2 linked regions of the Notamacropus eugenii genome follow. The protein of the gene in region 1 interacts with the protein of each later gene in a biochemical or structural test. Links are inferred from orthologs where the notes say so. Each region holds a gene or a part of one and is shown on either strand. Other genes may lie near its edges.

What was found. The genes of interacting proteins can lie anywhere in the genome.
Region 2: of the proteins of ATXN3 (region 1) and CAPN2, one has a biochemical effect on the other in vitro, tested with the Homo sapiens proteins (2 studies listed by BioGRID). The link is inferred for Notamacropus eugenii from reciprocal best matches to the Homo sapiens genes ATXN3 and CAPN2.

The regions. Positions count from the first base shown.
Region 1 is NC_092878.1:38,407,228-38,414,626, forward strand, and holds the start of ATXN3 (ataxin-3), read left to right. Parts: upstream 1-4,381; 5' UTR 4,382-4,449; coding exon 4,450-4,473; intron 4,474-7,399. UniProt on the Homo sapiens protein: Deubiquitinating enzyme involved in protein homeostasis maintenance, transcription, cytoskeleton regulation, myogenesis and degradation of misfolded chaperone substrates.
Region 2 is NC_092873.1:412,734,799-412,741,953, forward strand, and holds the start of CAPN2 (calpain-2 catalytic subunit), read right to left. Parts: upstream 3,011-7,155; 5' UTR 2,970-3,010; coding exon 2,733-2,969; intron 1-2,732. UniProt on the Homo sapiens protein: Calcium-regulated non-lysosomal thiol-protease which catalyzes limited proteolysis of substrates involved in cytoskeletal remodeling and signal transduction. Proteolytically cleaves MYOC at 'Arg-226'.

The sequences.
Region 1 (7,399 bases):
AGATGTTTATTAGCTGTGTGACCCTGGAAAAATCACAATCTGTCTGACTCAATTTCCTAATCTGTAAAATGGGAGTAATAGCACTTACCTCTCAAGATTATGAGAATCAAATGAAATATTTGTAAAGCCTTTTCAAACCTATAAAGCATTATAGAAATGCTAGTTATTAATAGTAGTAATAGAAAAATTCCATGGAAGAAATTAGGACAGTGGGGGACCCTAGTTTGGATTCGGCCAAAGTGCAGTACTTGAGGATTTATGTGACCTTGAGGCCGAAGGTTCCCCACCCCTGAGTTGGTACTTTTCTGCCACTGCTTTGCTGTGCTTTTTAACTTTTTATGTATCTGTCTTGCTTCTCCCTCTAAATTATCAAGTAGTTTTCAATTGAATAAACACTTTTGTATGTATTCACTCCTGCTCCCAGAACATTGCTATACACAGAACAGGCACAATAATTAAGTAAATGCCTAGCTGGCTTCATCTGGAGGTATTTTATTACTCATTAACACTTCTAAAGAGGAGTCAGTTCACAGAATCATAGATCTAGAGCTAGAAGTGAACCACATCATCTAATTCAATCCCTTCAGAGAATTGAGGAGCAGAGGAGTTAAATGACTTGGGCAAGGTCACAAGGGATAGTGACAGAGACTGGATTTGAATTCAAGCCCCCAGGACTTCTTGAGAAAAATGAGATTTTTTTATTTCTGAACCAAGCAAAAAGATTTCTTTCAGCCTAAGTCTAACTACTTCCTTACTCGCAAACTTCCAGCAACACATTGTAGTCTCTGGGGTGAAATAAAATTTCTCAACCTAGTATTTAGGGCATTCCACAATCTAATTTCAACTTCAATCAACAAACATGTATGCTAATGAGCTAGGGATGCAAAGACAAAGTTGAAACAGTCTCTGCCCCAAGAAGCTTATATTCTACTTAGGAGATAACTAGAACATACACTGGTATAAACCAGACATGTACAAAACAGACACAAAGTAACCCTGGAAGAAAAGGTACCAGCAGCTGGGGAGGACCAGGAAAGGCCTCCTGAAGAAGACGGTGCTCCAGTTGAGTCTTGAAAGGAACCAGGGACTCCCAAAAGACAGAAGTGAGGAGGGAGAGCATGCCAGCCATGGGAAACAGCCAGTACAAAAGTATGGAAATAGGAAGTCATAGAAAGTAAAAAAGGGCCAGGATCTAGTGACATTTAAATGCTAAACAGAGCAGTTTCTATTTGATCAGAAAGGTAATTTAGTGTTTATCAAGTAGGGGCATAGTCAGATTTATGCTTTAGAAAAATAATTTTAGTTGCTTTGTGGAGAATGGTTGGAGTGGGGGGAAATTTAGGACAGAGAATAATTGGTTCAAGCTATTGCATTTTTTCAGGCAAAAGGTCAAATAGGGTAGTTGCTGTGTGAATGAAAAGAAGGGAGACATAGTAAAGAAATGCGGCAACAGAAACAATAAAATTTGGCAACTTTTCAGCCTTGTTCTTTATTACTTCCCCTTCACTCTGGTCCAGTTGGACTACCTGATGTTACCTATCTAAACACTGCACATAATACCACAAACATGCACTCCCTATTGACTTCTCTTCTTTCAAGGTTTACTCCAAGTGTCTCCTCTTTGAAGTCTTCCCTAAACCTTAATGTAATGAATGAATATTCTCTTCCTCCTCAACCTCCCACCTGCTTACATATTCTGCGTGAAGAATATGTAACCACTGAGGCAGTTAGGTGAAGTGGTGGAGTACTGGATTTGGAGTCAGATAGAACTGATTTCAATAATCAATGAACTCCCTCCTGACTTATTTCTTTGAATCCTCATCTTCTTTCAAGGCTTATACCATGTGTCTCCAGAAAGAACTGAATTCAAATCCTGTCTCAAACACTTACTAGCTGGGTGAACTTTAGGTAAGTTATTTTTCTAAGCCTGTCTCCTCACTGCAAACTGGAAATAAGCACACCTTATACTTCACACAGATGTGTTGAGGATCAAATGATATGACATACAAAGTACTTTACAAACTTTAAGCTAGGTGGCTCAATGGATAGAGCTAAAATGTGAAATCTGAGTTCAGATTTAGCCTCATGCACTTACTAGTCGTGTAACCCTGGGCAAGTAGTTAAACTACAACAATAGCACCTACCTCCTAGGGCTCCAGTGGGGATCAAATGAGATGCTACTTGAAAACCACCTAGCACAGTGCTTGACCCGTAGGATGCTCTCAATAAATGCTTGTTTCCCTTCCTTTCTACATGATATATCTTCAGTAGAAAGTAAACTCCTTGAAGACAGGAACACAGTAGGTGCTTAATAAATGGTTACTGCAATAAAGTTGGAGGACTACTTAGTTTAAAATACATATGCATTTCATTTAGCTGGGGCAAAACGATGAAATTGCTTGTTTCTAGGTTTGGCCCATGCTAATTTCTGTATTTCTTCTGGTTGCGTGATGCCACTCAAACTGAGAAGTTTTAAAATTTACAGTCAGTAGTGTGTATGTGAGTAACACACACACACACATATATATATATATATATATGTGTGTGTGTGTGTGTAATAGTATCCCGAAAGTTCAAAGTATTTTGGGACACTTAGTTTAGTATATATTATGAATTTAGCACAAAAACTGTATTTGTATACATATATGTACGTGTACATATATATATAAAATATACATACATATGTGTATATACATATACAATGACACACACATACACATGAATCGATATATCACCTATCTATGTAATAAAAGTTACCTATGTAATATTTAGTTCCTTGCCAACACAAACATGAATTTCTTATCCCATCTGCTTCCTCACAACTGGAAGTCTAAAGCCTTAATTCAAACAGAGAACTCTGTGGGGCAAGGCAGAGTATGTGATTGCTGGGTGTGTCACCATCATGCCCAGGACACTAGCTTACTCTCCATTGCTCTTTCCCTATATTCCCTGAAGGTCTTACATGGAATTTTTCCTTTGAGCACTCAAAGGGTACTACGGGCAGCCTCTTGGATTTATATCCACTCCAGCCTTTTATCTCTCCCTACCTCCTCTTGGGGGTTGTGGTTTCTCTCCCTTCTTTCCCTTCATTGTGACCCCCTTATTGGTCATTTCACTCAATCATAGTTATACTTAGCGTGTGCTTGTTTAATCTCCTGGTTTGGTTTGTGTCTTCTCACCCACAGTAACTTTTAGGATACCCACCCTGACCTTGATGACCCCGAGTGTCTTGCCTCTCTCCTCCCTGGACTCAGTTGGCACTGCATTCTGCATCCCACGTTGATCACCTGCCCCCCCAACCTATTCTGGCCCCTGAAGTGGACTCTTTGCCCCTGTTCAGCAGGAAGCAGCTACTGAAGACAACGACCTTCACCCCTTTTCCCCTGAAAGAATTCTCCTACCTAGTGGTAGAGTGGGGAAATGAGGTAGATAGAACAGTGCCCTAAGAGTTAAAATAATATTGACTTTGTGAAACCCTGGGTGCCCTAAAGTGTCCCCTTACCACAACTTCCCCTTATCCTGGACCATATAATTCCTTATCCCCACCCCTCATCCGGGGGAATGGGATTTCCTTATCGTGTCATTCATAGTCCTCACCTGGTGCTTTTATCTTGCAAGACCTCCCCTAGACCTACAGCCCCTACAAGGAAACCCTAAAATCATCCTATTTAAGTCTGGTCCTCTTCCTATACCATTGCCTTTATTTAGCTCCTTGCTAAGTCTTAGGCCCGCTGCTTCTGCATCAAATAAAGCTCCCAATGACTACAGAGAAGGTCTAAGCTAATTCATTCACATTTTGAGCCAGCTGTCCCGTGTCTCTTCAACTACTCCAAGCTCCCTACCCCTCGCCAGAGCCTCGTCTGTCACAGGCTAGCACTGTGAAGGTGACGGGGGAAGAAGCCTTCACACCCCCACGGTTCGGGCCTCAGTTTCCTCCTCTGTAAACAAGGGCTGTAGGACCACAGGATTTCTACGGCCCTTCCCCTGCGGGCTCCAAAGCCTAAGATCCTGAAAGGTTAAGGACCCACCTGGCCTGCCTGGACCCAGCTCAGTCAAACGACCGAGAAGAGCCCCTGGCGCTAGACCCCGTCCAAAAGGTCCTCCCGTAAACCCAAAGAGGATGCAGGCTCCAGGAACGCGACCAGCAGGGGCCCGGAAGAGCCGAGTGGACGGGGCGGGGCCGCCCCGCGAGGGTCACGTGGGAGATTACGCCAAGGGAAGGGCTCTTCGCGGACCCGCTCCCTCCTTCCCCCCTCCCACTTGCTTCTCACAAGACTCGGATCTCCAGCGTTTGATTGGTCAGCGTCGGGAGCACGTGGGCGGGGCGCGGCGGAGCGGGTTGGGCTAGGGCGTGGGGGTGGGGATGGGGACAGAACTGGGGCGGGGGGCGGGGGGAGGTGCCGGAGGGGGGTGGTTCGACTCGGGGCCGTTGGCTCCAGACAAATAAACATGGAGTCCATCTTCCACGAGAAAGTAAGTGTCCGAGGATCGCTAGGGCGTTCTTCCTGCCTTGGGCGGTGCGGGAGGTGAAGGGAGTCCTGGGTTCTCCAGAAAGCCAAGGCGGCCTCTCTTGCTGCCTCCACCCTCCCGTCGGGGCCTACCTAGCGTGGGGAGGGGGCACCCAGCGTGGGCAGCTGCTTCCTTCCGAGGGCACCCACTCATTCGCCTGCCCAAGGACCCTCCTCACCGACCTTCGGCCGCCGGGCTCCGAGGAGTCCGGGAAGGACCGGCGGGGCGTGGGTCAGAAGCTTCGGGGAGGGGCGGAAGAAGGGACTTGGAAGGGGATGGGGTCGTGTTCGTGGATGCCTTGGGCCCTGGATGTGGTAGCGTGCATTGGATCAGCTCTTCCCTAGCTAGCTATTGTTTGCTGTGATGATCTTTATTACAATTCCGCTTTTCCTCCCCGCTCCAAGCTCCAGTGTCCGCTGCTGGCAGGATGGGAGATCCCCAGACCTCCACCTCCCCACCTTGTAGGGTGGGTAAGTAGGCTGAGAAGCCTCGTCCAGAAAGCCCTCCCTCTCCTGCACTGAACTAATTCTTTAATTAGTTCAATACTTCAAGTCCTACCCATCTTTGAACTGGCAGAGCGATGTAGCAGAAAGACTCCTGGACTTCGGGGTCTGGAAGGCATTAGCTGTGTGGTCCTTTCAAAGCTGGTCACACCCCACTCCAACCCTAGTTTCATTGGGGATTTGTCTTCCCTTCCTTGAAGGCTTGCTTTTGAGGAAAGCATTTTTGAAAACTTGGTAGGTGCCATAAGATCCAATTCAAATACCACCTTCCCCCGACCTTTCCCTGAGCCCTCAGATGGCACTTTGTATTTTACTTCTTTGAGGTATTTATCGTGTAATGTTTTGTATCATCCCTATTTCTATTGATATTTCTTATCTCCTTGCTGTATTGCAAGCCTTCTAAGAGAAAAAAACACTAATTTCATTTTAAAAACTATTATCCCTGACAGTGTCCAGTGCAGAGTAGTTTTTTAGTCAATATTTGTATTATTGTATGTCATTAAAAGCCCCCAAGCCAGAAATCTTTTCTCCCCCCCCCTCCACTGAAATAATTAGCCCAGAAGAGGTTTTGGTGTGCGTGGTCTGGACCACACACATATTCATCTTTATAAGAAGTTAAGCTCAGCTTCAGTTTCTCATTAGATGAGTGCTACTCCTTAGCTGACATGAGATTGAACTGGGGCATCTCCAACCCTTAATTAGTTGCCCAAGACTTTTGTACATATGTTTGTTCCTGATTGTTTCTTCCTTTTGATTCTTAAATGACCACTTGAAAATAAGGGCAATTAAATGGTTGTGGTATGTGGAGAGACTTGTCTTCTCTCTTTATAATTATCAGGCCCATTGGGTGTGGGTGAAACTTTCCATAAACAGCTTTGGGCAAGTGTTGTTTTCTTATTTTATAGTAAATATCATTGTGTAGAAGGGAAAACTGGCAGGATTAGTTTGGAAAAGTGGAGTCTTTTATGTTATCCATTATATATTACTATGACATTATTTTGATGGCTCAGGTAGAGGGTCTTTTTTGTACTTTAAATGGTCAGTACTTTATTTAAACAATTTATTCACAGCTACCAAATAAAAATCCATCATAGTGGCATTATAATGGATTTGTTATAATAAGTCTGAAGTAGCTGATTTTTTAAAAAATAGAAAATTTTAGTTGGAAGATTTTTCAGAAAATTTTAAAGAAGATAATAGATTTTTCATTTTGATGATGTCAGTGGTATAGATAACCCTTGATTAGCATTATTGATTATTTGTTTTACTTGAAAAGGAAGTATAGTTGTCTGGCAGAGAGACATATAATGAGGCTTTATTTATGTATATTTCAATACTTCAAAAGATATATAATTCTATAATTATACATTCTCCTTCCATGATGTAGTTTGTGACCCTTCTACACATTGGTAGACTATTTGCTGAGTTTCTAAGATTCCAAAATTCACCAACATTCAGGTGCTGAGCCTCCCCAAACAGCTAAGCATTTCCTTGTTCAATAGACAGTCTGTTTCTTCTACTCAGAGTCTTTCTGGTTTTGTTGGTACCACAGGAAGAACTGAATTTGGTGCCAGAGCACCTGCGTTTGAATCTTGTTTCTGCCATTTAGTACTTACATGACTTTGAGAAAGTCATATAACCTCTTTGGGTCTCAGTTTCCTTATGTGTAAAATTAACAGATTGGAAAAGTTTACTTTCAAAATCCTTTCAAAATAAATTTATCATCCTCTGATCAGCCACTGCTTTCATTCAACTGATATAGTCTTCATGAATGGGGGGTTACCTCCATATCATGAGATAGTCATTGGTAATAGAACTTTATTGGCAGTTGCTTCTGTATAATACATCAGAAGTGTCAAATTCATGCTGGAAGGCTGCAGAATCAGATTTAAATGTAATTGAGAAAATTTAACAAAATGAATAAAAAGACAATACAACATAGATAATATTAATTTGTCACTATGCAGCTCCCAGAAATTGTTTCTGTTTGATTTCAATGCTATTGTAATACATGTCTTATATGTCTTTCTGAGTGCTTCATTTTAGAATACTTTAAATAATCTTTTACATGCTACTTCATGAAATTGCCAAATTACATTTTGGAAGGATGGAACCTGTAATTTCAGTGGTATAGGAAACTTCCTCTGCCAATGAAGATGGTCACCTCGTTTGCAATTTATGGTCTTCGAACATTGCTTGAGGAACTGAGAGATTAAGTGACTTCTCCAGGGTCACTGGTATTGTCAGAATGAGAACTTGAGTCCAAGTATGAGGTGACAAGGGCTTGTACCAATGTGTTGGCTGTGTCAGAGGAGAAAAGGGAGCATTTGTGAGAGACATGAGGGTAAGGATTTGAAGATGACACCTAGATTTTGAGCTTGGCTGTC
Region 2 (7,155 bases), on another chromosome or scaffold:
TTCTAGAGTTAGCTCTGGAAGAGGCCTTGAAGGTCATGTAGTATAACCGTTTCTTTTTCTTCCTTCCTTCCTTCCTTCCTTCCTTCCTTCCTTCCTTCCTTCCTCCCTCCCTCTCTTCCTTCCTTCCTTCCTTCCTTCCTTCCTTCCTTCCTTCCTTCCTTCCTTCCTTCCTTCCTTCCTTCCTCCCTCCTTCCCTCCTTTCTTCCTTCCTTTTTTCCTTCTTTCCTTTCCTTTCCTTTCCTTTCCTTTCCTTTCCTTTCCTTTCCTTTCCTTTCCTTTCCTTTCCTTTCCTTTCCTTTCCTTTCCTTTCCTTTCCTTTCCTTTCCTTTCCATTTTGTTCAGTGGTTTCACTTGTGTCTGACTCTCTGTGACCCCATTTGGGGTTTTCTTGGCAAAGATACTGGAGTGGTTTGCCATTTCCTTCTCCAGCTCATTTTTACAGATGAGGAAACTGGGGCCAGCAGAATTAAGTGACTTGCTAATAAATGTCTGAGAACAGATCTGCAGTCAGGAGGATAAGTCTTCCTGACTTCAGACTCAGAACTCTATTTATTCATGGTACCACCTAGTTTTTTTTTACACAGATGAGAAAACTGAAGCCTAGTTATGTGATTCACACAACGTCACACAGATAGTAAGTAGTAGAAGCAGAATTTGAATTCAGATCTCTGATTCTAAATCTAATGACTTCACCACTAGACCACAACAGAGGAAGGACTTCAGAGGTTACAGCACAAAGTAAGGGCAGAGGAAAACAGTGACTGAGGAAGCATTAGGGTTGAGTTTACTATGAGGCACAGTCTATAGCCATTGGTACAGTCAGTAGCAACTACTTTGTGGCTGATCCCCTACTGATCTCCAGGCCACAGGTTAGGTAGCTAATTGGAGATCCAGAGTTTGGATGAGGAGGTGCCCCCCAGAAGGGCACAAAGGGCATAATGAACCCCATGGGGACAGGTGGACTCCTTGAGGCCAAGGGAGGAAGCGAACTGGTTGGATAGCTAGAACTGGAAACCTTTCTAGAGTAGATGGAGAAATCACCCTCTCTCCATAACTCCTCTAACTCTCTACTTCCCCATGTCAGCATTAGGGGTACAGCCCAATTGCCCCATACTGGTTGTAGATTTGGCTCTTATTGTTAAGGATTATTCCACGTATTTTCAAAAACTTTTTTCACGCCTTTGGCTTTCTTTCTGAAGTCCACAAATGTAGCTAAGAAATTCCTGATCAGGCCAAATTAGGCCAGGGAGAATTCACTGTAGCCAGAATAAACAGCTAACCTCTGTTTCATTCATAAATGTTGTAGCAAAAATGAGAAAGTGGGTCAAGGGAAAGGCACAGATGAGAGAATGTAAGATGACAATCGCCTTTTCAATCATTCCAATGACCTTAAAGAGAGATCCTCAAATTCCTCACTCAGGTCTGGTAAACAGACTGTGGAGGAACAATTCAAATGTGGAAGGACAGGAGATTGGGCCCCCCCAAGGTGCACCTGTCTAATATGCACAGACATTTCCACTGAGAAGGCAGAAAATGTCCAAGGACCAGCTCATCTGTCTGCCTGCCTTGGATCTTGTGAAAGTTGATGGGTGTGTGAAACGGGAGGCTTGACAAAAGAGGCTGTATGTAATAAGGAGAAACCTCAGGCCTGAGTGTCTGAGGAAGCGGGAGTGACCATGAAAAGGAGTCCTCTGGAGTATCTCTTCCTTCCCAGATTTTACCTCCAGTTAAAGTACTACCAGATAGCTCAGCTGTCTTTCAGTGGAGAAACAAAATACTTTCTGTATAGAAATGAATGAATTTTGCAGATGAGGAAACTGAGGCCTAGAGACACTGATGTACCTGACTAGTTAGGGGTGGAGATGGGAGTAGATCCAGTTTCTCCTCTGTCCTCATGCCAAGTTCTTTCTACAATGCACCAGGTTACATGGCTCCTCAAATATTTGCTTCTTAGCTGCTTTTCCCTATGGTCCATTTTTCCTTTATCTTCAGACTTTGACTCACAACAGGGTATCCCAGATCTCTGAGGAGCTAGCTATCCCCGGTCTTTACCAGCTTTCTCCTGATTAATGTTGACTCTGTGGATGCCGAGTTGTGATGACAGCCGGGCTTGCCCTGGAAAATCTTGCTCTGTATTGTGTGTGAGGAGGAAAGACTACATGTGTTCCAGGCCTCCTGGAATCCGGGCTCCCCTAAGGGACCCTCCTACAAGTCCTTTGCACTGAGTAACCTCAGTTCCTTTAATAGAGTAAGCAGGCCAGATGTTCGGAAAAGCTGAACTCTGGTTGGCTGCTTTCTATAAGGGCGCAGCTGATTCTTTCCTGAACCATTCCCGTCTCCTTCCGCTTGGATTCTACTTCTATTTTCCTGGGTGTGTAGCCTATACCGCACCACCCTTTCTACCTTTCTCATTACCCAGAACAGCTAACAGCGCTTTAGTTAAGTGTCAGCTAACAGCGAGGGCTAGTACTAACTCTAATATGGATGGATGATTCACTTCGTTTCAGTTCAATCCAACAACTATTTAATAACTACCTACTGTATACAGAGTCCTGGATTAGGTATAGGGGGGGCAATACCAACTTGAGATACAAACTGGCATACAGACTGACCTCCTGGCATTGACTCTTTAATTCAGGCTTTGCTGAGGGAGGGAGGGACTCCAGTCCCCTCTCCCTGCTCGGATCGCTTCCCCATCCCACCCCAGAACAGCTTGCCAGTACACTGCCTACCGTGGGTCTCTTCCAGACGACGCCTTGAGTTTTGCTCGAGTGCGGTCCCAGTTCCTTGAACCCCAGGGAAGATATAATCGCCGGGAAGGAAGGATCCTGAAAGAGTTTACCCTCCTCCAGGCATTCGTTGAGAAGTGTCTCGTAGTCCTGGTTGAGGTATTTGACCGCGAGGTCGTGAGTGCCCAGGCCGGCCGCCGCCTCTCGGTCTCTCACCACTTTGGCTGCGATGCCCGACATGGCTCCGGTCCTGGGTTGCTGCCACGGCCTAGGAAATGCGGCTCAGAAGGCGCTGGGGCTGCCCAGGAGCAGAGGGAGGCTGCAGGCGCGAGGAGCAGGGGCACGCCAGGGGGTTGGAGCTGGTGCTGCTATCCTGTTTGCGGATGGGGGTGATTCACCGGAGAGGGAAGGGCACCACCAGCTCACCCGCCGCAGAAGGCTGGGTGTGGCTTTGTCTCCTAACTCTGCGCCGCTTTGCAGCGGGACTCCGGGCCCAAAGACTTCAGGGGAGGAGCCAAGCCCCGTGGAAGGACAGCTCCACTGGATGTGCTGCCCTCTGCGGGCAGTCTGGGCACACGCGCCCGCACAGGGCACCTCTTCTCCCCCAGATCCTGCTCCCCATCCCCTGGGAAGTTGCTGCCTTCCCTTCCACCTCTCCCAAGGAGGCTAGGCACTTAGGGGGCCCACTTATCTCCACGGAGTATGGAGAAGATGACGCAGTAGTTAGAGCTCTGGATCAGGAGAAAAGAAGACCAAGTTCACATTCCGTTGGCTTTGTGATCTGGGGCAAAGTACTTAATTGCTTTCGGTCTCAGTTCTTGTTCATCCTCAGTTCTCAATAATACTAACCTTTACCTCACGGGGATATTGTGAGGGTAAATTGGGATAATATTTGTAAAGCGTTTTGCACACCTTAAAATGTTACTATGTAAATGCGTGCTACTATTATTATTATTGTTAAGATAATATGTATCTCAGGCAGGGGTTCTTCAATTGTGATCCATGAACTTGAATGTGTGTGTATACACATACATAAATACATGCATAAATTTTAAAATGAATATGATATATAAATATATATGATAAATGTATGCATATATCAACATAATTGGTTTTCTTTGTAATTCTATGTATTTTATTTTGTGCATTGAACAACTTTGTTCTGAGAAAAGAGTCCAAAGGATGATGCTGGAACTAGCTCCAACTGGCTCCTGTTAAATTTTCAGTATAAGCATTTAGACTTCAGAAATGGGAAAGTCTACTAATCATGGCTTGATTGACTGGTTTCTAAGCTTAAGAAAGTGATGGAGAAAATATTAATGCAGATTAAAATTATGTTTACTCCCCCCCCCCCCAGTCTATTCTTAAAAATTTAACAGCACATCTCTGGGGTCGTGACACAAAATGAGATTTAAACTCCTACTTTAAGGTTTGCAAAGTGCTTTGAATATAAGATCTCCTTGATGGATAAGAGTGATGGATTTGGAGGGAAGAAGACCTAGGTTTTCCTCTTGCCGGACAGTACTACTGAACAGCTCTGTCAGCTTTCATTTGAGAAATAAAATACTTTTTTTAAGGAACCAGGATAAGATTGATAACATTTTACAAAAAAGGAAAGCAAAATCCCAGAGATGATGTGACATGTCCAAGGTCACACTGCCATTTCCTGAGAGAGCTGGGGCTAAATCTTGCATCTCCTGCCTTCAAGTGCTGAACTCTCTCTAGTGAATGTGAATGCACTACCCCATAAACGTTTGCTGGTAGGCGTCAGTATTGTGGATTCATACAGGTCTGGCCTTGGCAGCAAACTGACTTGTGTTCAAATCCCACATCAGAAACTGACTTGTGTGACTCAGGGCAAGTCATTTAATCTTTCTCAGCCTCAGTTTCCTCATCTGTAAAATGAGCCTCTAAGATCCCTCCCACCTCTACATCGATAAGCTTATTTCTGAGTCTCCCAATGACCTTGTAAGGAAGATGCTATTTTTATTCCCATTTTACAGATAAAGAAACAGGCACAGAGTTTAGTGATCTGCGTAGGGTCACATAGTCCATAAATGTCTGAGGTGGGATTTCAATCCAGGTTTTCCTGATTCCAAGTCTAGCCCTCTATTAGCTCTTGTGTTCTCTGTCTCTAGTGTTCTACTGTTTGTGATGGTCCCACATATTTGGTGCTATGGAATGAGTGCGGGCTTTTGAGTCAGAAATCCTGGGTTTAAATCCTGATTCTTACCCTTACTATCTATATCACAAGATCACAGATTTAGATCTGGGAAGGACCTTTGAGGTCCTCTAGTCCAGATGTGTCAAACATACTGCCTGAATCATATTAAAATTCAATTGGGAAGTATTTAGCAAAAGAAATTAAAATACAATAAAACATAAATACCCTTACATTTTAAAACTGCATTAAGGTGCAGACCACAAGTATATTTATGTATGGCTAGTGACCTTCCTTTAAGTTTGAGTTAGACACCACTGAAGTAGTCCAACGTCCTCCTTTTACAGGTAAGGAAACTGAGGCTTGAAGAGATGAAGTGATAGATTTGGACCCAGCTCTTCCTAACTCCAACACCAGTATTCTCTCTGCTTCACCAATGATTCCCAGCTTTCTTTTTTGTTAGTCTCTGAACTTCTTTCAAGAACAAAAGTAAATGTATGGTGAACCCCTAGGGTAATTTAATGTACCACTCATAATATTATTTTAGACATTAATTAAATGTTTACAGTAAATACAATGATAACTTTTGCCCAGGAAAGCTCATGATGTGCCCAAATTGCTGTAGAAACAAACAAAATTCTTCAGACATGCACATGCTTGTCATTGAGGAAAATTTTATTTGAAAACAATTGAGCAATTATTTATTGCTTAAGGCAATGCTAAAGAATTTTTTAGCATGAACATCTTGGAGTTAGGTTTGTGAACCACTAATTGAGACCTACTGCACTATAAACACCCAGTCTTTTCAGCTGACCTTAAGCAAATCAGCTCACTCTTCTGAAACTCAAATTTCTTCATCTGTAATGAAGTTGGACTAGATGACCTCTAAGGTCCTTTCCAGCTGGAAATCTGTGAATGAATAGACTTCTGCTTTCTACTACCTCTGTTAATCCTTGTCCTGAACAAATACTCTTTACAAAACCAGAGAGAACTACTTTATGGGAAAGATTCCCCATCAGTTTGTTTTGCTAGGTCAGATTTGACCATGACTTTTGACTATTAAACAGGCTTGGAATATTGAACCCAAGTTATCCTCTTTCCTCCCTCCTCTCCACCCCTCCTCCTATGAACATCCTCCTTATTTTAGACATTAGCCTTATTTAAGACATTAGCCTTATTTCTTGGGCCCATAAATTACTACTCTTGTCTGTAGCTAAAGGAAACTATCTATTGTTAAGTGGGTGTGGGAAAAAAAAACAATCAAGTAATACCAGCCAATTATAAACAAATCAAGGTTGGAGATTTCACTTCAACTGCCTTCAAAAGAGCCTATCCTATGATGAGACTGGCTTCAGCCATGACTTCTATGTCAATGACTCCCAAATTGAGATCATCTTACAAGGTTCCTTCCAGCTCTGTGTCCCTGCAGTCAAAAATGATCTTTTTCTTTTTGCAAGGCAATTGAGGTTAAGTGACTTGCCCAGGGTCGCAGAGCTAGGAAGTGGCAAGTGTCTGAGGTCAGATACGAACTCAGTCAGGTCCTCCTGACTTCAGCGTCGATGCTCTATCCACTCCGCCACCTAGCTGCCCCCAAAATGATCTTTCTTGTCTCAGAACTTTTATTGTATTTTGTATTTCTCTTATGCCCTGATCATATTTTATTTTGTAGACTAGTTAGTACATAATGAACACATATTTGTGTATATTCTTTCTCCTTTTAGATCATAAGCTCCACAAAGTCAGGGACAATATTTTAATCATATTTTATCTAAATATTTGTTGCATGAATGAGTGAATGAAGTGATAGAATCTGTCCTAGCATATCTGGTTTTCCGCTTAACTCTTTCTCATGTGGGTGGCATTCAGTTACATCCTGGTAACAGGTTTCATGATAGAGTCGGTGACATTCCCAAGTATTTGAGGGGAGAATGGTGAAGATGACATGAAGGAAGTGATGGGGTTCAGACTCTGGGAGCCTCCTTGATCTCCCCTTGAATCTTCCCACTTAATCAGGCCTTTCGTACTCAAATCTAATCTTCCCATTTGTTCAGGCAGTCTCTGGAAACTCATCAAGATCCGTATTCATTCCCATGCTGCCCCTATCAAGATCTCTGGATTGCCCCACCCGCTTCCCACCCAAACCCTCCATTGTCTGATATCTCCTGATAGCCTCCAGCTGTTTCCAGCCTTAGACCTTCCTCGGATTCCCTCCTTGGACTTCTCAAGACCCTTCCTAAACCCCTCCTCCCGTCACCCTGGACTACG